Oreochromis niloticus: one gene and its partners. The main gene of each other region encodes a partner of the protein of the gene in region 4 in a complex. Links are inferred from orthologs where the notes say so. Each region holds a gene or a part of one and is shown on either strand. Other genes may lie near its edges.

Region 1 (7,086 bases), about 19 Mb from region 4:
TCGACCTGTGCAGGTGTGAGCTTCTCCAGCCCTCTCTGCACCTGTGATGTACTCGGCTGAGTGAAGGCCACGTCATCATCCTCGTCCTGAGCCACCAAGTTGCCGGTGTGTCTCTGTGTGGGAAAAATGTTGTCTGAAATCAGTCTCCATGAAACTCACTGAAACCCTCAGATTCTGCTTTCTTTTCTGTACGGTAACTTTGACTTTTATAGGCTGGCTGTGCAAAAGCTCTGGGAGAAGATGGAGACACGATAGGGTTCTTGCAATAATCGCCAAACGGACAGACCTCCAGAGGGTCAACGCCAAAAACCATCAAGTCCAACCAATCAAAGCTACTAGGTCTCAAAGAGAAGGAGCAGCAATCAATGAGCTCCTGGCCTCCATGCTGCCCCAAGCATCTGACTGCATCAGTCTGAGACGAGGTGGCAGTGACGCTACATTCACACTCAGCCTCCTTTGCTATGAAAAAATTTCCCGACAACGTCAGTGCCCTGTTTCTTTCAGAAGATCGGCTTGGAGCACACGCAACTTTAAAAAAAAATCACTGGGAAGAGAGATCCAGCAGCCGAAACCAGTTCAGGATGGTTATGGTTGGTCTGAGCTCGCAGCCGGAACCCTCCACAGGTCAAAATCTTGGCTTTGCTGCTACGCTTAGACCTCAAAGTCGCAGCCCGTATATTGATGTCAAGAAATATAACACAGTTTGGCCCTTAAAGTGACTTTTTCTGTTAGGGAGGATTTGTTTGTTGTTGAGTGCAATGTTAAAATACATTTTTCTAATGATTTAACATGAAGGTGATATGAGCAGAGAGCACAAACATGCTGAGGGATCGGCTGTGTTAGTTCAGTGAGAGTCACAAACTAATGTGAACATTTGTGTCTGTGTTTGTATTTTGTTACATACGAACAAAGTGTGTCTGTCCAGAAATAGAGGACTGGTGTGTTTATTTGGTAGTTCAATGAAATCTTCAGTTAGTTTGCAGTTTTGTCTTGTTATACAAAATTGGAATAAAAAATAAAAAACAAACAAAATGCTACACTTTTGGAAATATTTGTTTGTGTTTTCTTCTTGTTTGTTTGGTTGTTTTGTACTATTTGAACACTAAAGTGAGATGACAGTGCCAGCAAGTTTGAGACCCCTGACTTCGACGAAGTGCCGATGACCCTGAGGTACCCCGCTGAAGATGTGGAAGGGTTTCCATTAAAGTGACATTCAGACTACCTCACCGCCATCAGGGACCGGCCTGTTCGTCCAGCTGCTTCAGCGGTTTCTGCTCGTGGCATCTCTGATGTTTGTCAGCCTTTGTTTATGGAAACCATGCAAAACATTTTCCAGAGCAAACATCCAGAGAGCCGGAGCTTGCTTCTGTCCCTCTGCGTCACAGACATTAAATTACTGCACTTAAATCAAACTCTATATCCCATGATGCTGAAGCGCCTACAATTGGGACACGTGGAGTGGATGTAATATTAGTTTGGCTTCAGTTTTTTTTTTTTTTTTTAAACAGTAGTTACAGTGGTAATTATTTATCAAACTACTCCTGTGAATATTTCTTCCATGCAGGAAAAAAGATTCACAGTTTGAATCTTTTGTCCTGCGTGGGTCACTGTTTTCCAGCTGCAGTGGTTTTGATCTGGACGTGGTCTCGAGTTCACCACTTTACTCTAGCGCTTCTCATTACTGTAACACTGCAGACACTCGGAGTGAAAAGGATTTCTTCTGTGGTAGAAATGAAGGACTTACTCTCTGAGAGGAGCTCTGTGTGCTGGACGGTCTTTTCCTCTGCGTCATGGCGACACACCGCCTGATAAAGGAGACAGGTAGGGTGAACAGATGTCCCTCTTTAGGTTGGACTGCACAGTATTTTTCTTCCTGGCCCCCTGCGCCACATCTCGAATGGTTCTGCAGTACATGCACTTTTCTAAAGTCTGACTTTCACATACACGAAGGGGAGGCGGTTTATCATTATCTGAAGATGATCAGCCTGTCACCAAAGGTCATTCTGTTTGCAGCTTTGCAGGAAATTATGGTGTGAGGTGATACAGCATGTGCATCATCACTGGATTAAAAATGGTAAAACTGTCAGATGTGTCTTGAAGAAGGTTTGTGATTCAGGGATACATCCCAACTGGAACAGAGGAACTGTCACCAGACAGAAGAGCAACTGAAATAACAGTGAAGCCAAACACAATACAGGAGTATTTAAGGCCATGATGTATTTACAAAGGAGGAAAGAATTATTTGACCTCATTCCTAAATTTATAAGTTTGCTCTCCTACAAAGAAACAAACAGTCTAATTTTTATGGCAGTTTTATTTTAATAGAAAGAGAATCACCCACCCCCCTTCCCAAAAAAACCATTACATAAAAGTTATAACATAATTTGAATGTTATTGGTTGAAATATGGTTGAGGTCATCCTGTACCCTCTGCAGGAAAGCAGCCCACAGCATGTTTCAGCCTCCGTGATTGGCTGTTCCGTCTCACTCCATTAAAATCAAACTACTGTAAAAATCAGTTTGTTCATTTCTTTGTAAGCGAGCAAACCTAGTTAGATCTGAAATTTCAGACTCAGCGCTGACCTGTCCCACACAAACACAGTGTTTACCCCACATTCACTTTGTTGGGACCTGATCACCGTAGCTACACCGCGTGTGTGTGTGTGTGTGTGTGTGTGTGTGTTTCTCTGTGTGTTTCGGCGCGTTTTAAACGAGAAAGTCTACAGGCTGAACAAAAACAACAACCCGGAAGTGGCCACAGATCGTTTACGCGAAAAGCAGAGCAGAGAGCGTTGCTAACTACGTGCCCTAAAATACTTCACCCGGAGTTCCCGGGATACAGCGTGGCTAACAGAAGATTCACATACTCTGTATGTTTTAGAAGATGACTCACTTTGATCCTCCACCGGTTCCAAACGGTCAAATTCCCGCTAATGGGGCTTGTAGGCGCCTGCTGATGACGTCATTTGCACTTGCCGCTTTTCCTTTCCGTTTCATTCGACAGAAATGTCGTTGGTTTCAGTCATTAATTAAATATAAATTGATTGATTTTATTTATTTTTTCCCTGTGACAGTTTGAAGGTTTATTATATCGAGAAAATTATTTTTATTTTACAAATTCACCAGAATAATAATGTTCATTAGTTTACGTGTAAAAAGGGACTAATTTGCATAATTACCAATGAACAGAAATATGAACGTTTGATAAAGACATAAATAATCACATTGATATAACTTATGATTAAATTCATTGCACAGGAGGACCCACGTGAGGAACTACTGGAATTTATTCTACAGACTAGCATATTTAAAATGAAACTAACAGAAATCCAAGATGAGCTTCATACTTCATTTAGTTAAATTGATATATTTTTTCAGACCTCTGCACCTGTTGACTTTTCGTCGGCTGTTAGCTTCTGTGATTGGTAGGAAGAGCACATGTGTAATTTTGAAATGAGATTATTAACTTATAATAAAACTTTTTATAATAAGTTAAAAAGTCTTCTCGGTATTCCATTGGAAAGTGTACCAGCCTCTGTATGAGATAAATGTAACTGTCCATACTGAAGACGAAGCTACAGACCCTTTCATCCGACTATGAATACCTCCATGTCATCCTCTGGATGAGGAAAATAATTTCCATTATTATTACTTTTAAAAATTATATTTAAAGTCCCATGTTTATTGTTGCACCAGTCTGATATTCGAGAACATAAAAATTGCTGAAAAAAAAGTGTTTCAATCTTAGAAATTCTGGATTTGAACAGTTTCAAAAGTAAAATACTGTATGTACTTTTAATTCATCACCATTTTTAATTGTCATCTTAGACTGTTTATTTAGGCTAAACAATGTGCTACATGAGATTTTAGAGTTTTATTGAATAAATGATTTTATAGGAAAATATGCAAGTCACAGTAATTAACGTGTGAACAAGAAGCACAAACATCCACCGAGGCATCTCGCTCTCTGGGCAGTACTTACTGTTAAGGGAATAATATTCTATTTTTCTATAAACATGTAAGAGTGGATAACTTTGTAAACAACCGGATATGAATAACTTGAGGTTATTATATAATAATAGAGCTCTCTCTCTCTTCCTCTTGAAAATACTTTCCTTAAAGATTGAACACATTTTAGGATCAATAAAGGCAGAAATGTAAAAGTGAGGTCAGAGGTCAAATGTAAGACAATATTAGATAGATAGATTAGATTAGATAAAACTTTATTAATCCCTTGGGTGGGTTCCTCTGGGAAATTCGGTTTCCAATAGCACAGCACCGACAGAAGTTACAGAACGTGAGCAGAATACTATATATACACATATATAAATACAGACATATTTAAATAAAATATATGAAAGGGATAAATAGAATAAATAGGAATAAGAATACAAGGGAATTGCACATTTCAAGTATTGAAGTCTATTGCACCGTTGGATATTAGCAAAAAGTATTGCACAGTGAAGTGAAGAGGCACTGCAGCTTAGTTGTTCCCCCCTCCCTTGTCCTCCTGTTTCCCCTCCCTCTCCCCTCCAGAGAGGAGTTAAACAGTCTGATGGCGTGTGGGACAAAGGAGTTTTTAAGTCTGTTGGTTCTTGATTTTGGGAGAAGCAACCTGTCACTGAACAGACTCCTCTGGTTGTTTATGGCTGTGTGCAGAGGATGCCCAGCATTGTCCATAATGTCCATCAGTTTCTTTAATGTCCTTTTCTCTGCCACTGTCACCAGAGTGTCCAGCTATTAGGATGCAACTATGATGTGAGAATCCCCATATACCAGTATCCTTTCCTTCATGTAGCCAGTACGAACAAACAAGCAGAATCTTAAGCACAGTTTTAAAGATAAAAGACGTTTTGTCAAAGTTTGATGTTATTTGACCTTGAATAAGAGGTCAGAGGTCCAAAGTACCACAATATTTACAATCCCCATATATGATTCCCTATTTTTATCCACTTCCTTGTTATTGTTGTCAATATAAACAATGTGAATGAGAAGTTTAAAATAGCCCTATACAGCATTATCATCATTTTGACCTTCAGCTCGATCCACTGACCTTGAAGGAGACGTCAAATGTGGCGTATTTTATATGTTTTATGTTACTTTGTAGATCTTGATGATACATACCACACTTTTGGGAATCATAGTTTCTTTTGGCCATTTTCCACCAATAACTCCTGAAGATGACCTTGAAGACGCTGGTGGATGGAAGCTGAATTTCAATGGACGGTTAACATGACGCCATCTGCAACCCTGCAAAGTTTGATCTGAATTTATTCAAAACTCTCGTGTTTTCAGATGGGATGACACGCAAACACTGCCGAAAGCAGAACCTCCTCAGCAGAGGTAAGGAAGTCCTTTCAGCAGTGAAGGACCCTCAGGTGTACTATTGCAGTGTAGTATTTTTACTTTGGACATTATTAAGAAATCAAATCTTTCGTCCTGTGAACACCAGAGGGCGCTGTCTCCCCTGTTTCAACCTCACCTGTGAATACACCTGCGGCAGATTTTTATGAACTACAAAAATATAAAACGCAGTGGTTTAAAGTGCGCCATATGACTAAAGCAAAGAGTTTATGGACATGTGAAGGGGTGACTGTGAAGATAAATTATTTACAGGAAAAAACTGTTCTTCTCGTTTCCGCTCAGCTCTGAGAGACAAAGTCCACGGAGAGACACACTTAGACACACACAGACAGACCCACAGACAGACAGCTGACAGTCGCACACTCCCCTCCCGGGACAGCGGCGGTGTGAGGTGGTGAGGTTCCCCGGCTGTGTGCTCGGGCCATGCGGGGTCAGCGGGATGGAGGAAAAGCCCAGAGTGTCTCCGTTCAAGAACTTCGTGGCTGGGGGTGTCGGAGGAGCGTGTCTGCTGCTGGCCGGACACCCACTGGACACCATCAAGGTGAGAGCTGCAGCCCCAGCCGAGCTTCAACGCAGCTTATTTAGATCTTTAGACACAAACATTCAGTCCACGTGTGTCCGTGTGGGGGGGTTCTCAGGTGTTTAATGTTTCTGAGGAAGTCACAGGAAATGTCAGAGATCGTGTAGGTGCTGAAGAGATTACCGACAAATCAGCTTAAACTGTTGCCGAGGCGGCCACCTGAACACGGAATAATGAGGCTGCTCAGAGCCTGCGGGAGACTGTCGAGGAAATGTCACAGCGTGGGTACAAAGTGTGCAGCTCAAACTCACGAAGTTAAAATCAGATTTATGACATAAAACAAAGTAATGCCATGAAGCATCACATTTATTGAACACATCACAACAATTAGCTGGAAACGTCTCATTATTCTCACTATAGCATTTTCACCTTTTTAAAAAACAAACAAACAAACTTATAACTTAGTTTTTTTAAGTAATAACTGCAAATGATTTGTGTAACTTTATTATTCACATATAGTAACTTTGAATGTGCAGAAACATATCGTTACAACATGTACGTTATTTTTAATCCAGATCTTTTTCTAATCTATCTAAACCACGTCAGTGTGTTTGTGTGCGACACACTGAGTCTTTGTGAAGATACAGTTTGATCACATCATCATCACAGTAACCGTCACATGAGCGCAACACCGCCCTGTTTATCGGTGACAGAGCAGCAGATGTTAGTGGGTGTCTCCTCCTGTCTGACAGCACTCAGCAATCCTCCTGTGTGTGTGTGTGTGTGTGTGTGTGTGTGTGTGTAATTCTTCTTATTTAAACTGTGTGTTTCAGGTGAGACTACAAACACAGCCCAAAGCCGCTCAGTATGTGCTCTACACAGGAACGTATGACTGCTTACGCAAGACCGTATCCAAAGAGGTGAGCGCTTTCTGCTTATTACAGCGGACAGTCACACAGACCAGAGCCAATAGTCAGCTCTGTTTTCAACATGTGACACATCAACTGAAGTACAGACACTTCAATAAAAACTAGAAACTCATTTAAAATCTTGTGTGTGTGTGTGTGTGTGTGTGTGTGTGTGTGTGTGTGTGTGTGTCAGGGCATCCTTGGTCTCTATAAAGGTATGGGGGCTCCCCTGGCAGGTGTGGCTCCTATGATGGCCATCAGTTTCTTTGGGTTTGGTCTTGGAAAACAGCTCCAA
Region 2 (7,991 bases), on a different chromosome or scaffold from region 4:
AAACACACTGGATTAATCTACCTGTAATCTACAAATCTAATCAGTAATCTACCTGTGTGAGTGGGCAGGTGAAGTTGACTTGACTCTGTGTCACAGCGATGTCCTCATCGAGCTCCTCCATGCTCTCTGCTGACTCCTGGTTAGCTAAAAACAAACAATGCACATGCAGTTTGCTTCCATTTGTCCACTCAGAGTAAAAAAATTAATCAACTTGATAGTACGTACCACCATCCACCAACGTTTACTGCACACACATGCACACCCCAACTTTATACACAACATCTTTTTTTTTTTAGTCTGCAAATAAATTTCATATCTACAGTTGTTGTCCTGGCACATCTACAACTACTGAAGAACTCAAAGGCTAACTTGAGCCCAAAGTATTAAAAACTGCTCTCTATATGTGGCCTTTGTAAACTTCTCCATATGATTATGCTATTCAACATATTTATATTTCAGCCTTTAAGCAAGCAGATCTGAAACCTCAAAATGTATCCCTTAACAGGAACATGAAGTAATACTAATTCAGTGAATAATAATGGTGTTCAATGGGCTAAGCCCTCACAGAATACACTGCAATGATCACCTCGGCTCACAAAGTTCATGCTTCAAAGTAAGTTCTCACATTTGGCTCTTTTTTCAGACATTTTCATTTTGAGTCAGCTCGTGAAAATAACATTATACTTAGCATAATGTAGCCTATAATTCCTACAGAGACTCACAAAAGCATGGCACTATATGAGGCCGGCATAGCTGTAATTAGTAAGAGTTAAAAAGCAGAAAATAACAGCCACAGGGTGACAGGGAAACAATCATTCAACGGTAAACAAAGGAAGCTGCGTGTTTTAAAATGAAGCTAATTATCCTAAAAAAGGCACATCCCAAGATCTCTCTGCTCAGCAAGAAGTCCTCCGATAGCACTGCTATTATCAAAGTCCATTAGAAGTCCTGAATGCACTGCGGTGAGTCTAATTCAAGTAAATCTCTCCCGTCTCTCCACAGGCCTTACCTTGTTTGAAAGAGTTTTTGACACTTTCCTTGAAAGCCATTACTTTCTGGTGAGTGTGCAGGTCAGCATCAGAGAGTCGGGCTATTCTCTCTGTGAACTGCTCCTTCACTTTGGCAGACAGGCTGAACATAGCCTCCGGCTGTTGAGTGGTAACCTACAGTGATTGAAATGTGTTATATAATTTGCAATAATTTGTATTTAATTCAGAAATGCTTCACAAATGCCCAAGGTTTGCGTCTTCTTCTGAACATAGTGTTAAGAGTTTTCCAACTCATCGGCTACGTCACCATGGTGACCTATGCTGCACTCTGCACAAGATTATGTTCAGCCATTCCTGACGATGTGATCTAACCTGCTGAGCTGTATGTTAGTAAAGGCAGAATCAGATGCCGCTGAACAATGTGTGTGTGTTGTGGTCCCATGGCACACTTTCTGCTCTATTCCCCATTATCACTGAAAATATTTAAGTGCTGAAAAAATGTCACTAAACTGACTTTTATATTGACTCCATTATGAGTCATTATGTTTATAACTGTGTCACATTTAAGAGCTCTAATGTACAGCTCTCACTTTATGCAGAAATAGCAGCATTAACAATGCAATGATTATTTAAAGACAATAATGACATGTTCCTCTTGAGTCAAGTAGGGATCACCTGATGGGTCTACACTACAAATGGTGCATCAAAACTTTCTATACAATGAACAAAGTTTAAGCACACTGTTGTAATATCCGTTATCTCTGTCGCCTAATGCAAGGAAACCTTCAGGCTGTTCTCACCTCAGCTGTGACTTGTTGCACCACATCAACAAAGTAGTTAATCTCCCTGTCCAGCTTGGCACACTCCAGAATCATGGCCTCCATCTCTTTGATGCCCGGGTTCATCTCGTCATCTTTAACATAAAAGCACACCAAAGAAGTATTCACTTGAGCAGTCACACCATAACACACACGCACACAAACAGCTAGCAGCTCTTTGGGAATCACCTTGTTTGTGCAAAAATCCTATGTAATGTCTGTCCAATTGTGTTATCTCTGGCATTCTTCATAGATTCAACTAAAAAAAAAAAAAAATGTTACTAGCCGCCTGTCGCAAAAACACAAAGTGCCTAATGATACAACTTAAAATCAGTTCTTTGCTAAGTTATTTAATATATGTAGACATGCCACTGGGTTCCTTGAGGTAGGTGCATTCTGTTTTTTAATATTAAAGTGATTCATAGGTCCGTGTTCAATGGCTTAACAAAGAATGAAAAACATTCCTAAAAAATGGTCAATAAAAAAGCAGTCAATGTCCAAGGAAAATCCTTGCAACATTTCCAGAAAGCCCAAAGAACTGCTGCACAAGACTATTTTGAAAACATTACGAAGGTCTGGCTCCTTTTTAGCCAATGATGGGTAGCCCAAGTCTTTTGCAAAGTACTTTAAATGTACGCTCCAAAATTAGTTATAAACCTTAAAAACAAATCTAAAGCACCCAAAAACATTAATTATTCGCTTACCAGATATATTTTAACGTTTATAAATAATGTAGTGATTATAGATGGAGTTGGTGAGCTTTTTTAGAAAATCTTTAATATTTACCCTGAGCTTCCGCCAGGTCCATAGCCACGTCTGTCACAATGTCCATACCTGTCCCGATGTCAGCCTGACAGGATTTCAGACTCGACAGAGTTCCGTGAACAGCGCTCAGAGACATTGTGAAAGCTACCTTTATTACTTTGGGACTACAAACCAGAGCTAAATTTAATGTGCTATTAACGATAACGTTAGCCTAGCTTGCTAACAGGTATCTAGTTCTGCCGGCAAAATGACCGACACCTACATGAACGTCAAGTACAATCTGTTTCAGTAATGCTTTTAGTATAAAAATAACAAGCGAAACGTAAATAAACTATAGAAACTGTGGATGCTATACAAACGCACACAAATCACCCGCTAAAACGGAGCCACAACAGAAGCTAACTTCTAACTTCCGGGTATGGTTTTTCAAAGTAAAAGCTTTAACAAAATATGTTTAAACGGAAGGAAAACAAAACTGCTTCTTTAATAGAAAGAAACGTATTTATTAATCCATTTCATTTATAAATGGCACAGAATCTTAGTACATAAAGTTGTAAGAGTGATTTATTTGCATTTTAATGTTCTTTTAATTTACAATCTGTAAGTGCAAGACACTGATAGTTAGCACAATGAAATGTAAGTAAACAAATCAAAAGGCCCCACATTTGACATATCACTGTAGAATAGGCACAGTGAATAATAATAAAATAGTATTAATACCTGTGGTCACGCTTGCTGGAGCACTTAAACCTAACAAATCAGTTGTTAATTATTAGTAACACCTGTGCAGTCACTACATTGAGACAAAATGTCTGCAGTGGAAAAACATTCGGCAAAAAACCCGAATGTTTAAATGAAAATCTTCATCCATATCTTCACAGTATTGTCCTGAACTCATCAAAAATATAACTGGGCACATGAGCTTCCGCCACCTTAAAAACACAGAAAACACAAGGAAATACATGTTACTGTTACACAAATATAGTACAGTACAGATGCAAAAAATAGTATTTTAAAATCTGTTCCCATAGCTGATGGGTATTAAATCTGGCTGTCCAATAATAATGCTCCTAAGCATATTGATGTTTCAACATTTCAGCTCTACTACTACCCCTGGGTACTGTCAACTTTGTCAACTCTTATCATTTACAACCACTTAAAATATTTTCAAACACTAATACAAATAATATAGGGAAAGTTGCACCTACCTTACGTGACAGTTTTGTGTACTTCACGTAGTCTTCAAGGAACATCAGAGCTCCCACCACATCAGAAGGCATGTCAGGGATTTTCTGACTATAACAGGATCAAACGGAAGCTTTAATATGATTTCATGAGGCTATAACCAGATACATTTTATGTCCGGTAACACAATCCGCAATCATCACCAAGGAAACCTACCACACAGAATATTTGATTTCGAATCTTATTTTAGAAATCTTTCTGAAGTTGTGAAGTCTGTTTTGCTACCTTGTGCACTGCTCCATGATTGAGCGGATGAATTGACCAATGAGAGCCAGGAACTGTTGTGTGTATCTGGAGTGGAACTGCTTGAGCAGGGTGAGCAAGCCGAGCACCAGTGGAGGCCAGTCGACCGGGTCTGTTGCTTTCCTGCAGGTCATTCCTACCATAAGACAAAACATCAAATTAAAACCACATTCAGAGACATTCAGGGACTGTGCGTTAGCAGAAAAATGTGGGGAAAAACAAATCCATAATATTTAATGCCGCTTTCTGAAAAATAATAAAGTCTGCTGCAACTGAAGTAAGTGAAGAGGCGGCAAGGACTGACCCATTGTACTCAAAACTGTGTAACCTGATCTCTGATCAACTTCAAACAAAAAACTAATGGGGGAAAAAATCACCTTGGTTTTTGTTGTACTGAAGTTTAGGCAGCTGAGCAATAATAAAGAGGAAGTTGATGATGGGGAAGTACGGGAGGCGCTTTGTAGTGATGTAGATCTGTGTGAAGCATAAGTAGAACAAAAAGAGTCTGAACACGAACATCTGCTAATGTATAGCCAAAGAAAGCAAAAAACAGCTTACATTTGTGGTCGTCATTGAAAAGACTCATTTCGATTCAGGTGAAATCAGAACAAGACTAACTGATTATGTGGGAAGAGATGCCCCTTCTGTTCAAACCTTGTTGAGAGGATTGTGAATGCCAGCAGCCTCCAGGTAGGCAGTGATATCGTACAAAAGAGTGTTGTCCTCTTTAGGATAAGGCAGGGATGGGTCCTGGTAATGGGCCTCAATGTCTGCCAGCAGAGACCTGGCAAGAACATAATCAGAGTGAGCATAAAAGAACAGTGTGAGACTAAAACAGACATGATGCAATTAGCAGAAGCATCCATCACAAAAGTCATTAACACAGAGTAGCACTTGGGGGTAAGTAATGGAAACATATAAACAACGACTCAGTGGCATTATGGCAAGAATATACAGACTTGTTGAGGTTTTCCAGTGCAGCCGCCAGGTGTTTGGAGTCAAACTTGCAGGAGTAGTTAAGCTCATTAGCGATCTGCTGTCTGAGAATCTGCATCTGACCAACCTTCAATAAACATATGCATTCAAAATTATTTTATTATTATTTTATTATTTTCATCAGAAAATTGTGACAATTTTTTACTTTTATTTTCTATTCATTAACATGAGAACATGGAGCAGTACCTTCATGATGGCTTCCTGATATGTACCCCAGATCTTCTGGGATTTGGCCACAGCACTGCTGTAGACTTTGCTGGCATTTGCTACAGCAACAAAAACAATAATGAGATCTGTACAAGAAAAGGCAGGTTATAGATTCTCTAAGTGAATACCTACCCACAATGCCTTGGACTGGACTGACGGCACCTTGCAATGTTCTGAAGACCTCCACCACAGCTTTGTCCTTCAGGATGGTCTTCTGAAGTATTGTCAGGAAGTTCTGATGAGACAAACACATACATCACTACAATCTGGGAGCCATACCACATGCACTAAAGACACTGCCAAGATTGACATGATTTCAGGGTTTTATCTTTGTTGACCTGAATGGCATCTTTTTGGGGGGTGGGGTGCAATTTGGGGGGATACTGAGGTAAATATTGGGGTAAATACCTGAAGTTCCTTGACAATCATGAAGCAGAGCAGGCGGTCCAGTCCGTTAAGGCCAAATGTACCCAGGGTGTTCTGGATCTCAGAGAACAATCTGTTGTTAGTCACCTCCTGGTGGCTCTTCAGGTCATACCAGGTGTTCATCTGGTCAATGTAACATGTCAACCTATAGGAAGAACCAGTGTATTCCACCATCAATAAACTGCATAACCAAAGATTTTTTTTCTCCTCCATCCTCAGATATAAACTCAGTTATTCTGCTAATTTCACTAACTCTTATTTCACTTCCACTGTTATGTCCGATGAGACATACTTGGGATCAGTGATTCGGAGGATTTCTCTGCAGAGACGACCGATGAAGGTGGCAGACTCATCCACAGAGGGAAACTTGGGAATAGGAATGTGGGTGGACTGGTGCACACTCTGCCAGTCCTGGATCTGAAGAGAAGCAAGAAACAAGCCAATCAGCCAACTGCTATTACTGAGAAACAGCCAAACAACTAGAACACTTCTTATCTATCAGTCAGGGACAAACTGCTCTCAGTGCACTACTCAGGGAAAAGGAGAAAGCGTGTTAAGTTTGACCTTGGTTCTGAGAAAACTGTTGCACTCCTGTTCCACATTATAGTTGACGATGCGGGACACTTCCTCCTGCCAGATTTTAAGGCCATAAATGCTGACGTAGTCCTGGATGTATTCAAACGACCTGTAGAAGCCATCCATGGTGGCGCCCATCTCCTTCAACTTGGGCATCAGTTCACTGGGCTGAAAGAGTTGAGTATTTTTTCTCTTTTATTTTATTTTACTGCTGTTAATCCTTCAATATCATTGGGAAACTTAACATGGAAACTGGTCAACATACAGAATATATATTACAAACTTTAACTGAAGATTAAAAATCCATAATATACAGCAGGTGTAGTGTCTCACCTTTGCCTTTGGATTGAAGATTAAGCCTCTGTGCAATGCATAAGCCACCCTCTTCACCAGCTCCTTCCTGATGCCATCCTCCAGAAGCTGCTTAGGATCCACCTTAAACATCACAGTGTGTTAATAAAGCAAACCTGTACTGCACCAAATCCCTCAGCAGGATTGTTTTAATCTTCTGAAAGACAGAAATCTTTGTTCTCAAATTTCAGAAACCTTAATCACTGTATTTACCTTGATAATCCCAACGAGAGTAGTCTTCATCATTAAAATGCCCTCAGTGAAAATAGATATGTCATGAGTTAGTTTTGCCACCTGCAAAGACACAGAACAGAACGATGTTTAGGCATGCAAAAATATAATATATATATGAATAATATTGATGTCAATCATTGATATAAAAGCCAATGTTTTGATTGATTTTCAGTTTAAAAAACAAAAAAAGTTCCATTCTACAATGATCTTATTTTAATTTCAAGGCACTGGACTGCAATTCCAAATATGACTGAAAAAAAAATTAAAAAGTAACTTCAGTACTTCACACTCTAATTAATCCAATTCAACTAAGTCTGCTGGCACAATCTGTTTCCATATCACGCTTCCTTTTCCAATTTGTATTTCACATCAAAAGCTGTGAGCAGATTGAAAAATGTTAGCATGATTGCCTCCGACTCCCATACAGCTGATGAGGCGAGATCAAAACAGAACAAAATGAGCTCTCTTATCTATTTTTTTTTATTATTTTATTTTATACAACATCTGAAGATATTTTTTCCCTTTTCTTTACGTCAGTGACATTCTGAACATAACTCAAGGGGAAGGAGACAGTTTCATACACAACAGTTTGTCTCACTTCATAGCGAGCCGTCAGTTGGGCGTAGTCCTTTAGCTTGTCCTTATCCAGCCGTGTGGGCACCTCCATAATGTCGTGGATCTGAAGCTTGATTATTTTGGCTAGCGAAGTGAACATGCTCTCTGGGATAATTTGCAGCACCTGGAAGCAAGACGATTTTAAAAAAAAGGACTGTTTATTGTATATCCATTAGGTCAAGGATCTCAAGTATAGCCAGAAGGAAAAAATCTTCCAGCATAAAGTTATAGCTCAGAAGTTGCCACAACGTCAAGGTACAGATGCACTAAGCACTTCTTAGTGGGTACATTTGCCAAACAGATTGTTTCTCAAAAATTCATCATTCCTGCAGCTGCTACAGCACTGATACTGAAAAACGGTTTGCAGCACGCAGAGCTCATTTGTTAAAATTATGAGACTACACACTAAGAGAATATTAGACCAAAACATTTCAAAGCAGAAGCTTTTGTAAGAGGAAAGAGAAGCAGAAAAAAAATGACATCATACACTACCTTTCTCACATAGGACACCAACTCTCCAGAGTAG
Region 3 (7,554 bases), on a different chromosome or scaffold from region 4:
AAGGTAGAAACAATAAACTTGTTTTGTTTAAGACAAAAGTACAAAGTTGAGTATACCCAGGCTATGACAGCAAACGACACAACCTGGCATCACTCGAGCACTTGTTAGGTGCACTCCATGTGACAGGAGGAGCAAACAGTGGATGAAAATGACTCAAGTCTTTACATATTCTTTGGCCAAGTATATTATCCCAGTATAAACTATAGCAAAGCCTGACCAAGGTACAACATCCCAACATGCCAACTTTATGAAGTGCTCAACATGTAACAATATTGTGAGTCTAATATCATCATCATCCCAGGAAGACGCTGGTCAAGTAATAAAGTGTTTTTTATACTACACATGTTGCTGGAGTTTCAAAACCAAGTTTTGAGGCTACATTGCCCACCCCTAGGTGTTATCTTGTGGCAAACTATGCAAAGTGGGTTTAGAAAACTGCTCGCAAATAAACAAGCAGACACATTAAAATGGTCAAACTGGAGTTAAAGCTTAACTGTAACCCAGTTGCACAAGTTGTCTTTCAAGTTGTCATATTTTGCTCCTGTTTGTCCACATTTACCAAGAATTGCACAACATGGTAGGGATGCAAAGTGCAAAGACGTGTCTAAGACTTGTTTTTTGTAGTTCTATCTCAGAATATTGTAGTTTCGGCACAGCAGCCCTCAGCCTTACATTACTAAGTAGCCTAGTGTAAGTGCAAACAGATACCCTTAGGACTGTGGTTGTCCTTTCCCAAATCTTTCTACTTTACATCCTTCCTGTGCTTAATAATTTCAAAGAAAAAGAATTAAGAGAAATGAAAAGTTTGTAGGAAAAGGCACAGGGCTGTTCAAGGATGCTTTGATTACTGGCAGCTAATCTGGAACCACTTATTCTACTTTTATGGACTGGCAGAAGACCACGTGTGCTTGTCCCAAGAAAGCTTCCGTCTTATTAATTTGCTTCTTCACAGAACATCAGTCTATTTTTAGTTGGCAGGCAAAAACCCTGGCACTGCGGTCCCAGCTAGTAAACAGACTTTCTAAATCACTCACATGTAGTGGAAAGAGGGGGCTGTCCTAAAGCAGCACTCTGCTCTCCTGGCCAATCGGTGCCAGGCATCCTGCGGCAGGTAGCCATTAGCAGTGGTCTGCTGCTCGTCTTCATCATCTTCTAGTCGGTTCAAACCCATGAACGACAACTGTAGAGAAACATAGACATCGCCACATGACCACTGCAGTATGTGATGCTTTGAAAGTTGTGTTTAAAAAAAAGCACATTTTCCTACATTTATTAGCATTTGTGTCTGTATTATTCACTTAAATGAACAGGAAAAAAAAACTAGTACAAAGCTGCTATAGCTAACGCGTTATCATAAAGAAACATAGGGGCTGTGCCATATGACCAGAAACTCATATCCCGATATAAGACATTTCTCATCCCGATGATATATATGACAAAATAGTGCATTTTCTGTAAATTCTGTGAATCTCGGGCAACTCGACTTGTGTGAAGTGTTTTCAGCTGGAGTCGAGTGTTTGGACCAATGCATTAAACTACATATTTTTAGATATAAGTTGTAACGGCTGCAATTTCCTTTGTATTTATTACATGCCGTGCTGCGGGTAAAAGCCTGTTCTAATGTTTGAGTCTAAGGTTTATTTTGAGCACCTGACAGCTCTTTTTTTTGCTTCTCATCCGTAAACTCTCTCCATACTCTTTCTGCTGGTATTCTCTGTGCCTGCATCCACACGATGACCATCCAAACAACGAAAAAAATATTGCCATAAACAGTGTATTTTGTGACACCACGAAACAAATGATAGCGTATAATATGAAACGATAGATGTTTTCATTTTATCATCCGATATATTTCGTCATATCGCACAGCCCTACAGACACATATTTAACATTTCATGATTACTGGGGTTTGTGTCTGGCCATCAAATGAGTCCACTAAACAAACTACTGTCAGCTTTGTTTTGCCCTCCTTGCCTTTTTTTAACCATACATAACTTAAGGTAAAACAAAAGCATGTGCAGCTCGAGTTGCAAATCCAGACAGAAATACTGCAAGGTCTGTATGGACCACTCATGCAAGGTGACTGAAGGACAGACATGATACAGTAATCATACTCACGAGATGCTCAGCAAAAGCAGTGGGATCGAAAGCGGTTCCCTCGGAGAACAGCTGGCTGGCTTTCTCCTTCCCCAGGTCTGTAGCCACAACAAGGAGCTGTGCATCCAGGGCTGCTTCTCTCGCCTGTCGAACTGCCACCAAAACCCCCCAAAAAACTGTAAGGTCTAAATGATTGATCTGCTGGCCTGTTATTCATTTGCATGTATCAGACCTACCATCTTTAAAAAGTTTGTTTGCTTCCTCTAAAACCTCTGTTAGTTTGTTGTTTGATGGGCTCAGCATATCTTCCCTGTTCTCTGAAAAACAAAACAAGAAGAACAAACATCAAGGATTTGTTTGGAATACATACAAATCAACAACTTTGGCAATCCCCAAACCTGCCACTCACGTTGCACTGAGCTGATGAGGTCTCTGTATTTGCTCCTGATTTCTCTCCTCAGGCCCTGGTCATTGTCGTCGTCTTGCAGGTCGGCTGGGCCGATGTCACTGCCACCCTCGTCCCCGTCACTTTGCTGCTGGTCTGCTTTCCTTCGGCTCGCTGAGCCATTCTGCCGGGGAGCTTCCTCGTCACCACCGCCTTTGGATCTCTTCATCTTCACTCTCGCACTAGTTCGGCTGTGTTTTGTGAAAGGGAAGCAGGCTGACGGAAATCAAATAAACATAAACAAAGCGCGTTTCTATCGATGAACAGGGCTATTTATTACCTTCTAAAATAAGTCTTGGAGACAGGGTACAGAAACGGTCTGTTTACGGCTTCGGTTGTCAAGATGCTCGGTGTTTTATTAGTACATATATCTAACGTAGCCACACGGGTTTTCTCCAATTTTAGCCAAAGACACAAAAAAATCAAGATATAAATCCGCATATGCTAGTGCTTACACGTGGTAAACCCAGCCCAAATATAATATAAAATGCAGATTAGCAAATTTTACCATACAGTTGCTTTTGGAAAACGACTACTATGTCATGTTAGCTCTAACAGGTCAGATAACAAAACAGAACCCTCTCGTGCCTGCAAACGCGAACGCGGAAGTCCTGCACAGTTACATATCTCGCCTTACTCGTGTACATCTTTGATGTTCAACGTTAGCCGACGTTAGCTAACAAAAGCAATAGCCGCTTAGCTTAGCTCAACTGTTGGACGTTTGACTGCCACGGCCAAATAAAGTCTTGGTTAAAAGCAAATACACAGCCTGTTGTGAGTGTCACTAATCCACCCGTGCGCAGTTTTTATTATAATTGCTTCAACGTACCTGTGAGGCAAACGTACACAAGGCGCGCCAATTGGATGTCAGAGAAGTCGTCATGAACGAAGATAGTTTGGATTCCTTCTTCTTCTAAATTTTTTTGGCGGTTGGCAAACAACTGAAGGGTGCATTACCGCCACCAACTGGTATGGAGTGTTGACTGGAACGTCGCTTAAAAAACCCCCCAACTCAAATCCTCCCAAACACCTCTTTACCCTCTTTTGAAAACTGGAATAAGACCTGATAACTTTTACTTCTAGAGTCCTTTTGCAGGAAATAAATAAGATCTAGTTTCATTTTTATCTTACTGAGGTTTTGGGTCAGTTATCTTCTCTCCACCTGCACTTCTGACAGTGTAAGATGACATGTTCTATCGTTTCCCCTTCTCCACAGTAGTCACATTTCCCTGTTTTATGTTTCCTTATCATGAATAGTGTAGTCCAGCATGTCCAAATCTTGTTCTCGATATGACCACCTCCTCATTTTTCCTACCCTCCTTTGAATTTTGTACAAACACCGTCCCCTCCTTTCCTACTCCCACTGTTTCTGGTGTCTTTTTTTCATTTCTTGCCGTCCAATACTCTTCAATACTCCAATACTCGTCCAATCTCTGTCTGACCGAAGCTAATGCCCAGGTCAACTACCCCATGTTTTGTGGCTTCCTTCGCAGCTCTAGCTGCCAATTCATTGGCTTTTACTCCATAGAAACACAACTTTAAGTCCCATCATGTGTATTATAGAAAGTGTCTGCTGAACCTCTGTTAGGATATCTGCTCTACGTTCTGAGTGGCTACACTGTAAACTGACCAATGACGAGCTTGAGTCTGAACAAATGGCTGTTTTTAACGGTCTCATGTCTTACCCATTGAACAGCTAACAGTATTGCTAGCATTTCTCCAGTGTATACTGACACTCCATCATTGATCCTTTTACCTATTTTGACCTTGAACTCTGGGACAACAAATGCTACACCAATTTGACTGGCTGTATTCTTTGATGCATCTGTATATATTTAAACATAATTATAATGCTGGTCAATGTAAGCTTCTACTGTGTGTGAGTTTAAATTAAATGCCCCATCCCTATTCTTCTTTTCAAATAATGTGAAATCCCCGGTGGCATCAGAAAGTATCGATCGAGGCATTGCTGGTAACGCCAATCTTTGACTGATCTTGAACTGGTCCAATTTAAGTTCTATTGCTCTTCTACCTAAAGTCCATCCAAAGCTCTTTGTTACCCACCTTTCTTTCTCCCAGCAAGGTTGTGTTGGGTGATCCTGTCCATGGCCCTGTGGATTTTCCCAGTAATTAAGTGTTAGTTGTTGTCTTCTGCTTCCAAGTGGCATCTCACCCATCTCTACCTGTAACGCTGCTGTTGGGGTTGTTTTAAATGCATCTGTGCAGAGTCTTAGTGCCTGATACTGAATGAAGTCTAACTTCAAAAGAGTTGTGTCTGCTGCTGAATTATATGCTGCAAATCCACTGCTCATCCATCGCGCTCTCTCTCTCTCTCTCTCTCTCTCTCTCTCTCTCTCTCTCTCTCTATATATATATATATATATATGTGTATGTATGTATATTTTTTTTCACTGCCTTTCATTCTCTCTGAAAGGCAGTGAAAATAGGGCGAGTTTTAAAATAACGACGTTTGTGTATAATTTTTTTTTTTTTTTTTTTTTAACCATAGATTATTAATCCAAAGTCAACTTTTTTGTTTACTGTGAAACAACCAATCAATGCAGTTTCTTTAGTCAAATATGAAACTAACTTCAGCAGACTAGGCAGGAGCTCACCGGCAGATGGTGCGCTAATAATAGTGAACATATCTGTCTTAAGACATCGCTGTCGGTATCCAGACGTGTGACTTGTGTACAATAAAGAAAATAAAGTATATTATTAGTTTTCGTTCTTTTTTTAAAAGTTCAATAGTTACTTAAAAAGTACAAGTTTTGCAGGCATAAAGCCTAACTTTTCCTCTTTCAGTGTGCCAAAACGACTTGAGAGACTGAGGCAAACATCATTTACATGCTGCGTTGACAAGCTGTTGAATCGTGGGAGCATATTTATAATTTTTCACATGCTGCTTCTACATTTATGCTTTATTGTTGGTAAATAAATAAATACTTAAAGACATGGCATAATAAATATTGTTGGCGACTGTCAAGCCTTTGAGTCGCCGAGCAGCTGAATAGGGGAATAATGTTGACGCGCCCGCTGTTCAAAGTTCCAGGTTAAAAACTCCTTCATTTGTTATCAAATCCTTAAAATCTATAGAAAAACAGTGATCAAAACATTCTAGGCTTGAGCGGTTAGCAAAAGTCGACTTCCCCCATCACCCACTCATTCACAAAAATTCCCTCGAGCCGTGAACAGGTGATATAGCAATCACTACTACTATTACCGACACCACGTGACCCAAAGCTATGCCTATCCACAACATATATAATGACTTTTTTAGTTGAGTTGCTTGTGTATAACACAGGGTTCATTTTAATGGCCTCAGATCACTTCAATCGAACTATCATAGAGGTGGAGCTGCTGTTGAAACTCCATAAAACAACACACCAACATGGTTCACACAGATGACAGTGGCATCAAAATGGGATTTTACTATCTGTGATGTCCTGTCCTCTTATTGTTTATGCGAACTATTATTATTTCTTTCACTTCATAATCCAGACAACAACCGTGAACAGTTGGGGAAACTCTACCTCCACAGTTTTTGGGCTCTTCCTCACATTGTTTCGCCAACAGCTATGAAATCCCAGTCTACTGAGCGGTGGGGTGACCTCTACTGGCCACTCTAAAAAACTACAGGTGAAACTAACAACTGAACAGAATAAAACCATAACCACGGGGCCTTTTGTACAGTAGTTGTTGATAGTCTTGCATAACAGCTCTAGGTCCACTCTGTTGGAAAATAGCACCACTATTTCTGCAAGATCATTCAGACGTCTCAAGTCTTCAATTCATTTCAATTTTATTTATACAGCGCCAAATCACAACACCAGTTGCCTCAAGGTGCTTTAAATGACAAAAAAATATGATTTCAATTCAAAATGTCACAAATGAAAATCAGATTATTATTGTCCTTTCTTTAAAAAAGAATTAAATTGTGACTTTAAAAGTATAAGTTTTATATAAAACTCGATCTGAGGGGATTTCTTTGTGAATGCAGACTTAAACGGTAACGTTTCCTCTTTCAGTGGAAGTGGGCAAAATTCCTTCGTAACCCCTCGAGAGACTGAGACCAAAAAAGGAAAACAAACAAACAAACAAACAAAACATTTATATCGAGTTGTTGCTGCTTTGACAAGCTGTTGACTCGTGGGAGCATATTTATAGTTTTTCACGTGCTGCTTCTACATTTCTGCTTTATTTTTGCTAAATAAATAAATAAAGACAAGGTATAATATATTTAATGAGTTGTTCTTGTTCACCTCAGATTGTGTTTATGGACTTTTTTTGACCTGGTACAGGCTAGATCGTTTTTATTATGTCCTGATTATGTGGTACAGAATGTACGCTGTTTTTACCCTGACTGTATTTTAATGACAAAACTTGTGGACCTACAGCTGTTATGCAAGACTATCAACAACTACTGTACAAAAGGCCCCGTGGTTATGGTTTTATTCTGTTCAGTTGTTAGTTTCACCTGTAGTTTTTTAGAGTGGCCAGTAGAGGTCACCCCACCGCTTTGTATGAGAGAGACTATGGGCAGGGAGAAACGTGGGCAAGGCAGTGTTGCCAACTTAGCGACTTTGTCGCTATATTTAGCGAGTTTTCAGACCCCCTTAGCGACTTTTTTTTCTAAAAAGCGACTAGCGACAAATCTGGCGACTTTTTCTGGTGTTATTGGAGACTTATTTATGATGACTTTTTGACATGAAAGCGCGTATCGCTCCTACTCTCAACAAGCACCGGGTGCTGCCGTGGGCACCTCGCCCGTGCCAAAGCGCTCACAGGCAAAGGATAGTCCTCGCGCTGCTGCTATCAGGGTAGTAGATGTTCACACCTACAGTATGTGTCCAAACTGCAAATGAATCGCGCATGAGCGAAGCCGCTGCTCCCGCACTGACTGTAACACAGTCAGTTCTTCTTTTACTGTTATGCTGTTTTGTGGATCACAAGGTTTAAACCTACTTGTAAACACACACACACACAAAGAAAGTAACTCCACCAGAGTGCCT
Region 4 (6,889 bases):
TGTTTTACTAAAAAACAAGACTGACTAAAAGCTTTATTCAGGTTAGACTTATGATGATACACACATACAGCACACTGCATGTATTTAAGTGTGTATCAGTGTATGTATAGTCACAGCACAGTCTTTTCTTAATGAGTTCTGAGGAAACAAACACTTCCACATACTGTATCTATTTCTGTGTTTCAGCTTACAAATACCCTACAAAACAAGTTATTTTGTATTTATTTATTATTGTTAGGTCCATTATAGTTATGTTAAATGTATCTGTGGCATAAACACTAAACAAGAACAAGAATGGATTGTAGATTATTCTTGTTCTATAAATAAAAGCTGAAATGTCATCTGGTGAGGTTTAGTCTACATACTTTACATTTTATCTATCTATCTATATGTATATATGTATGTATATATATATATATATATATATATATATATATATATATATATATATATATATATAGTCCAGCATATATCTATATATATATATATATATATATATATATGTAAGTTTCCATACATAGATTACTATATATTATATTTTAAAATAAATCTTTATTCTTATTATTATAAGTTTACAAACAGCATAATATTCTGCTGGCTCATAAAGACACAGAATTTGCCAAAGGGAACAGTTAGAAAGTATTCTATTACATAACATAATATAAGACCAACAAAAACTTCCACAGGAAGTTTCTGACAATTTTTCTCTATTCAGGAGTGTAAGATTAACTGGAGGAAGTAAGAAAATGCAAGAACAAAATGAAATATATTTTAAACTTATTTTACATAACTCTCTCTCTCTCTCTCTCTCTCTCTCTCTCTCGCTCTCTTTTTACCATTATTTGCTTTTACCATGGTAAAAGCAAATAATGGTAAAAGGAAGTAATTTATGGGATCAACCATCCAAAGCAACAGACATTGCACAAGAGAGGTGAAGAAGAGAGTGCAGGGAGGGTTGAGTGTTGGGGATTTCTGACAGAAGTAGAGCACAGTGAGTGAAAGGGAAGGTTTGCAAGATGGTAGTGAGAGAAGATCATGGGACTAACAAAAACACAGGAGGCCCAGTTGATAATGTTAAGGTTTTCACTGAGAGTGATCAGGATGGAAAGGATTAGAAATAAATAACGTCAGTGGGACAACTCAGGCTGAGAGCTTTGGAAACAATTTTAGAGATGGTTTGGGCAGGGATAATGGATGAAAGACAAAAGATGATGAATATAGAGCTGGCAGGCAGGAGGAAAAGAGGAAGACCTCTGATAAGATTCGTGGATGTAGTGAAGGAGGGTATGCAGAGGGGTGGTGTAACACAGTAGGATTCTAGGGGCAGTGTAAGAGGGAGGCAGGTGATCTGCTGTGGTGATCCCAGAAGAAGATGAAGACCTTTTAACACTTAAAAAGCTTTACCTACATTTGAATTAATTCAATGAAATATATTTGGGGATTTGGGTGATGGTTTTATAATTTTGTTTTATGTATATTGTGTTACTACTGGTGGCCACGTGATGTCGCTAAATAATCAATAATCGTCGGAGTCGATGTCCCATAATCCCATGCGGCTTTTGGCTTTAAACCGGAAGCGGAAGCTCCGTGTTCCTCATAGTTTGAATGGCTTGTGAATGAGTAGTCGAGTGTTTGAGTGAGTGAGTGAGTGCGTGAATGATGTGTGACTGTGTCGTGTCTGTGTTTATTTTAAAAACCTACACACTGATCTTATTTGATCCGGTCTGAGGTGGCTCTGCTCTGACCGGAGATGATAGGAAACGCGCTCGCGAGCCTTCGTGGCGATGTGCAGCCGGCAGAAACTTTCAGGGCCTCCACGCTCCGTGCCGTGGTTAGAGGTGATGAATTGATCAGATATACTAGCTCTGTGAGAGTTTGAGTTCATCTCAAGCTTCGCAGTGGTCAATGAGTACAGAGGCGATTCTGATCTAACCACAGCAGGAGGAACCGTGGAGGAACACGACCTAAAGAAACGGCTGCTCGTCACATACTGCTTATTTTAACGGTTAAGACAAGCTGTGGAAATACCAGGAAAGCTAGGCTTACGAAACGCTAGTTTTCCTGGTAAAAACAAAAACAGTTAGACGTGTTAGTCCTAAAGTTGCTTCTTCAGTCAAAAGCAGTTTTTCTCCCTTAAAGCGACCGATTCAAAGGGAAAGGGGGACAGTGGGAACAGAGCTATACCGGATTAATTCAATCAAGTAATGAAGATCATTTAAGGGCTGACTTCTGTTGTATTTATTTTCAAAGATTGACTGTACAAGCTTTAATTGTTTTTCCAAAAATAAAAAAACGAGCTTGGCTTTAAAATATTTACATTTACGGCGAAACAAGGTTACTAGCAAAATGTTGGAAAATTTTCCAATGTAGCTCTTTTACTTTATGTAGGTGAGTGTCTGAGATATAACTCTTAATTTTGATTACTCGTTCCATTTCAAAGTCTTTAGGAATAAAATACCTTTTAACCTTATTTGGAAAATAGTGTTTCAGTAACGCCTCCAACAAGTTTATTGGAAACTCTTCTGGCACAGAAATCAGTGCCTTGAATATGGAGCTGTCTCAGGCCAGCGAGGAAACCTCACCTGGGGCCTCCAGGAGTCTCATTAACCTTTAGGTTTCATTAATATCCCCACATATAAACTAAATATGATAAATCTGCTCTAGTTATCATCCAACGAATAAAGTGACAAAACACAATTGCCGTTTTGTGTATTTATTTTCTTTATAAAATACTGTCTTTCTCTGTGCATAGTTCTTTAACCCCGAATCAGCACTATGACCTCCTTTAAAGTGCATTTTAGTTTACCACTAATTAAATTGCATTAGTTTTGTGTTAAGTGGTTGCTCTGACCAGTTTAACTGCCTTGACATTTCTGTTTTTGACCTGTGGAGATGTTAATTTGAAAAAGCCCATTAGGCACTTTTCGAATTTTCAAAATGTTCCACTTTGGCTACAATTTGTATTTTAGGACTAAATGAATTTCACAGCTTTTACTCTTATATCAAATGATTTTGAATGTAAGTAAGTCAAATTATAACTTGAAAATTTCTTCAGAGCTTCTTTGTTTTTAGTACAAGATAATTAAGAGAGCAAATGTTTACTTTTGTCTCAATGGTCTCATGACACTTGTAGCTGCACAGTGCGATGGAGGTTTAGCGCTTACTTTTTTACCACTTTGATAGTGGCACATAACTAGGTTCAGACATTCATCTGGTGTCATTTTATTCTCATCTGTTTCACTAATTTCATGTCCTTGGTGTGAAAACTCTTTAATCCGTAGCTCAGCTGTCATGTTGGCATTCTCATCCATTCATGGAGCCTTTCAAAGACATTGGGTGAAAGGTGGTGCACTCCATGGGTAGAGTAAGCATCATACCATCATGCCAAAAGCCACTTCAGAATCACCAATTAACCAAACAAGCGTGTTTTTGTATTGGTTCAAATCTATAACCCTTTTAACACTTTTTTTTTTTAAACTCTCACCTGTATGAGTTCGCACTAATCCATCATACTAATCCTCCCTGGACCAGTATCAGTTTGCATTTCAGGGGAAACTAGTCAACATAGATACACATAGATACATAGATAGGTATAATAGGGTATAATAACATTTAGAACTCCCTATAACTGAACTGCGAACTTCATTAGAAATCTTTCGTATTAACGCTAACACAACATGCATCACCTGCACGTGTTAAATTATATTTTCGAGTATTTTCTACTTTCCTTTTATTTTCTAATATAGTATGTTATCACTTGGAAATCAAACATTTTAGGTGCATGCTGTACGTTTGTCATCGTATGGGTAAAATTCATATCTCGCGATAGCTTTGGCGCTGTGGTCGCCTTTGTGTATACACGTGATCTTTTTGGTCCAACCGGCTTTCAGCAGCAACTGGGCAAAGCGCGCGAGGTGTCTGTCCGTGTGCGTGAACGTGCATGGTTGTCTTGTGGGTTCCCTTTTGGGGTCACCATGGCCGAACCCAGCAAACGACAGAGGCTCAGTCACATTAACAGCAGCTCACAAACTTCGAGTAAAAGCTTATCGAGCATTTTCACGGACAGTCAGGACGAAGGACTCGAGGGGGAGGGTCGATATGTGGAGGGATCCATACTTCGGATCACCATGAAGAACTTCCTGTAAGTTGCTGCTCCTCAGTTGTCATCGGTCAACGTCTGTAAACTGAAACTGCCGGAACACCCCGATTTACCTGCTGATAGCTACAGCCAGATGACCTAGATAGCATATATGCTAACATTTGCCACCAGTATGCGATTAAAAGTTAAACCCTGGGCTCTGTAAACACGAGCAGGTCGTAGACCCACTGAGGGAAGCTGCTGCAGACCGACTATATGGTCCAGCAGCTACAGTTAAGTCCAAATGAGGTATTTTAGTGAGCTAACTGTACGATTTAAGGGGTCACATTCAAGGCGGGTGTTAAAATAGACTCGATATATTAAAGAAGGGGTTCCTCATGATGACTCATTATGTTTCCATTGCTTTCTACTTCAAGGGGGGCGAGAATCACAAGCAGCTCTAGCTTAAAGCAAAGTGCCAAATCCAGCCAGTCAATAAAAATCCTGTACCTTCAGTCTTATAAATTCTGTATAAAAAAACAGGACTTCAAACGTCTGGCAGTGGAGCTTAACAGCGAGTTGCATACATCCCCTTTTTTCAGTCTGTTTCTAAACCATGTTCACACTCACAGATGATAAGTAGCGGTAGATGATAACCTGTTCAGAGCTTCTTTTCCACTCAGAAAACTAACCAAGAGTCAGTTACTGGTATAAATTCTCATCTTACTGTCATCCATACCTGCCTCTAAGTTTTTTAATGAAAATTATGGCAGACTAAGTAAACATTCATTGTTATACAGACTATTCTACATTTATTAACTAGTTAATCTGTAATACATATTTGCATTATTGTCAACTTGCCTCCAAAATTGCAGTAACTGTGCAGGGATAAGAGTGGTTGTAAATAGGTATTTCACTTTGAGTCTGCCTGTCACAAATGTTTAAGCAGTATGAGCAGATGAACAGGTACTGTATGTATGAAACTTCAGGTCTCACTAACAGACAGCCATTTGAAGTGTAAGATAGCAGTATTGCCACTTTTACGTTACTACGTTCATTTGTACTGTTAGTGTAGATTGCAATGATTTTAGGCGAGATGGAGCATCTTTACTCTAAAACACTGCAGGAAACCCCTGATTGTCTACCTTGTACTCACAGGACGTACGACTACTCTGTGGTGTATCCTGGACCTAATCTGAACATGATTGTCGGGGCCAATGGTACTGGAAAGTCCAGCATTGTGTGTGCCATCTGTCTGTGTCTGGCTGGCAAGACAGCTGTTCTTGGCAGAGGTGATAAGGTAAGCCACAGAGCAATACAAGTCATTGATTGATGCACTCCAAAGTTATTTCGGATTTGTTTTCTTTTCAAAAGATCAGAAAATAAACACAATGTTAGCAGACTGGTAAACAAGCTGTAGGTGGTGATAAGCATACCTCTATGAAAATCTTTCATTGCCCTTTTGCAGTACATGTACTGTTGTTTCTCATCTCCCTGCCCCTTTATCAGTCAAAATATGATACTTTGAATTGAGCTCACATAGCAGATACTGCATTTGTTGATGATGATGATGATAATTATTGAATGTTACTTTGTTTTGTTTTTTTTAAAGGTTGGGCTCTATGTCAAGCGTGGTTGCAAAAAAGGCCATGTTGAAATTGAACTGTAAGTTATGTGAAATACATTCCACACGCTGCATTACTCTTTACATGTTTTCAGAAATTCTTCATGAATCTTTTCAGACAAGAAGTTTGAATTCTGAACCCTCATCTTTTCAAAAATGAAAGGAAAATTTGTCAGAAGTTGTTACATCACCTGCATTATCATGTTCAGCATAGTTATATGACTCTAAATGCTACACTTTGTTTTTGTTTTTGAAGGTACAAAAGAGGTGGTAACGTAGTGATTTTTAGAGAGATACATGCGGAGAACAATCAGTCTCTGTGGATGTTGAATGATCGGCAGTGCAGCCAGAAGGCGGTGGAAGAGGAAGTCAAAGCTCTGCGCATCCAAGTCAGCAACCTCTGTCAGTTTCTACCTCAGGTATGTTTATGCCACTGCAACATAAAGCTGCATAGATGCAGCAATATGTAGTTTTATCCCTGTTTTATTGGCTTTTTTTTCCCCATGCAGGAAAAAGTTGGCGAGTTTGCCAAGATGTCCAAAATTGAGTTGCTGGAAGCAACTGAGAAGTCAGTGGGCCCACCAGAGATGTATGAATACCACTGTGAGCTCAAAAACTTCCGCAACAAAGAACGAGAACTGGAGGTAAGCTCAAAGCTAGTGATCCAACAGGCAAAGTTTGATGTTCATTCATTCCTGTTTGTTTTTTAAGTTGTCCTCCTCTTAAAGACATGTAAAGGCGACATGGCTCTTTGCTTCTTTGTAGAACATTGTGAAGGAGAAAGCAAGCTTCCTGGAGAAAGCCAAGCAGCGAAATGAAAGGAATAAACACGATGTAAACCGTTACTACGAAAAAAAGAGGCATCTGGATGTAATCGAGTTGCTCGAGAAGAAGAAACCATGGGTGGTGAGTGGTCTAGTGTAAACAAGAGAAATGAGCACAGTACACATGTGGAGAGAGAAACTGAATTAATTGTGTAAGCTGTTTCTGTTTCCTTGTGATATTAGGAGTACGAGACCACACGTAAGGAACTTGAGGGTGTGAAGAAGGAGCGTGACGAGGCGAAAAAGCAGCTTTTAAGCCTAAAGCAGACCCAGGCGCCCATGGTGAAGAAGATCCAACAGATTGAGGAGCAGCTGAAGCCAACTGAGGCACAGATAAAGGCTAAGGTGACAAATCAAAGGCTG

Evidence for each region.
Region 1: smc5 (region 4) and ndnl2 share a complex: the UniProt entries of both Homo sapiens proteins name them as parts of the SMC5-SMC6 complex. The link is inferred for Oreochromis niloticus from reciprocal best matches to the Homo sapiens genes SMC5 and NSMCE3.
Region 2: smc5 (region 4) and nsmce2 share a complex: the UniProt entries of both Homo sapiens proteins name them as parts of the SMC5-SMC6 complex. The link is inferred for Oreochromis niloticus from reciprocal best matches to the Homo sapiens genes SMC5 and NSMCE2.
Region 3: smc5 (region 4) and nsmce4a share a complex: the UniProt entries of both Homo sapiens proteins name them as parts of the SMC5-SMC6 complex. The link is inferred for Oreochromis niloticus from reciprocal best matches to the Homo sapiens genes SMC5 and NSMCE4A.

What each region holds. Positions count from the first base shown.
Region 1 is NC_031984.2:1,639,408-1,646,493, reverse strand, and holds the start of ndnl2 (necdin-like 2), read right to left. Parts: upstream 3,005-7,086; 5' UTR 2,893-3,004; exon of another isoform or gene 2,867-2,892; intron 1,806-2,866; 5' UTR 1,793-1,805; coding exon 1,745-1,792; intron 114-1,744; coding exon 1-113. Other genes in the region: si:dkey-150i13.2 (mitochondrial carnitine/acylcarnitine carrier protein), read left to right, coding at 5,803-5,904, 6,717-6,803, 6,985-7,086. UniProt on the Homo sapiens protein: Component of the SMC5-SMC6 complex, a complex involved in repair of DNA double-strand breaks by homologous recombination. The complex may promote sister chromatid homologous recombination by recruiting the SMC1-SMC3 cohesin complex to double-strand breaks.
Region 2 is NC_031976.2:11,176,931-11,184,921, reverse strand, and holds the start of nsmce2 (E3 SUMO-protein ligase NSE2), read right to left. Parts: upstream 3,008-7,991; 5' UTR 2,709-3,007; coding exon 2,594-2,708; intron 2,067-2,593; exon of another isoform or gene 2,052-2,066; coding exon of another isoform or gene 1,997-2,051; intron 1,903-1,996; coding exon 1,790-1,902; intron 1,164-1,789; coding exon 1,010-1,163; intron 145-1,009; coding exon 53-144; intron 1-52. Other genes in the region: washc5 (WASH complex subunit 5), read right to left, coding at 3,448-3,504, 3,781-3,868, 4,043-4,196, 4,438-4,534, 4,715-4,844, 5,020-5,123, 5,243-5,322, 5,396-5,498 and 7 more. UniProt on the Homo sapiens protein: E3 SUMO-protein ligase component of the SMC5-SMC6 complex, a complex involved in DNA double-strand break repair by homologous recombination. Is not be required for the stability of the complex.
Region 3 is NC_031978.2:22,361,974-22,369,527, forward strand, and holds the start of nsmce4a (non-structural maintenance of chromosomes element 4 homolog A), read right to left. Parts: upstream 3,021-7,554; 5' UTR 2,984-3,020; coding exon 2,823-2,983; intron 2,759-2,822; coding exon of another isoform or gene 2,734-2,758; coding exon 2,507-2,733; intron 2,415-2,506; coding exon 2,334-2,414; intron 2,250-2,333; coding exon 2,119-2,249; intron 1,181-2,118; coding exon 1,035-1,180; intron 1-1,034. UniProt on the Homo sapiens protein: Component of the SMC5-SMC6 complex, a complex involved in DNA double-strand breaks by homologous recombination. The complex may promote sister chromatid homologous recombination by recruiting the SMC1-SMC3 cohesin complex to double-strand breaks.
Region 4 is NC_031984.2:20,747,958-20,754,846, forward strand, and holds the start of smc5 (structural maintenance of chromosomes protein 5), read left to right. Parts: upstream 1-3,879; 5' UTR 3,880-3,974; coding exon 3,975-4,141; intron 4,142-5,236; coding exon 5,237-5,378; intron 5,379-5,690; coding exon 5,691-5,743; intron 5,744-5,958; coding exon 5,959-6,121; intron 6,122-6,211; coding exon 6,212-6,346; intron 6,347-6,467; coding exon 6,468-6,608; intron 6,609-6,709; coding exon 6,710-6,871; intron 6,872-6,889. UniProt on the Homo sapiens protein: Core component of the SMC5-SMC6 complex, a complex involved in repair of DNA double-strand breaks by homologous recombination.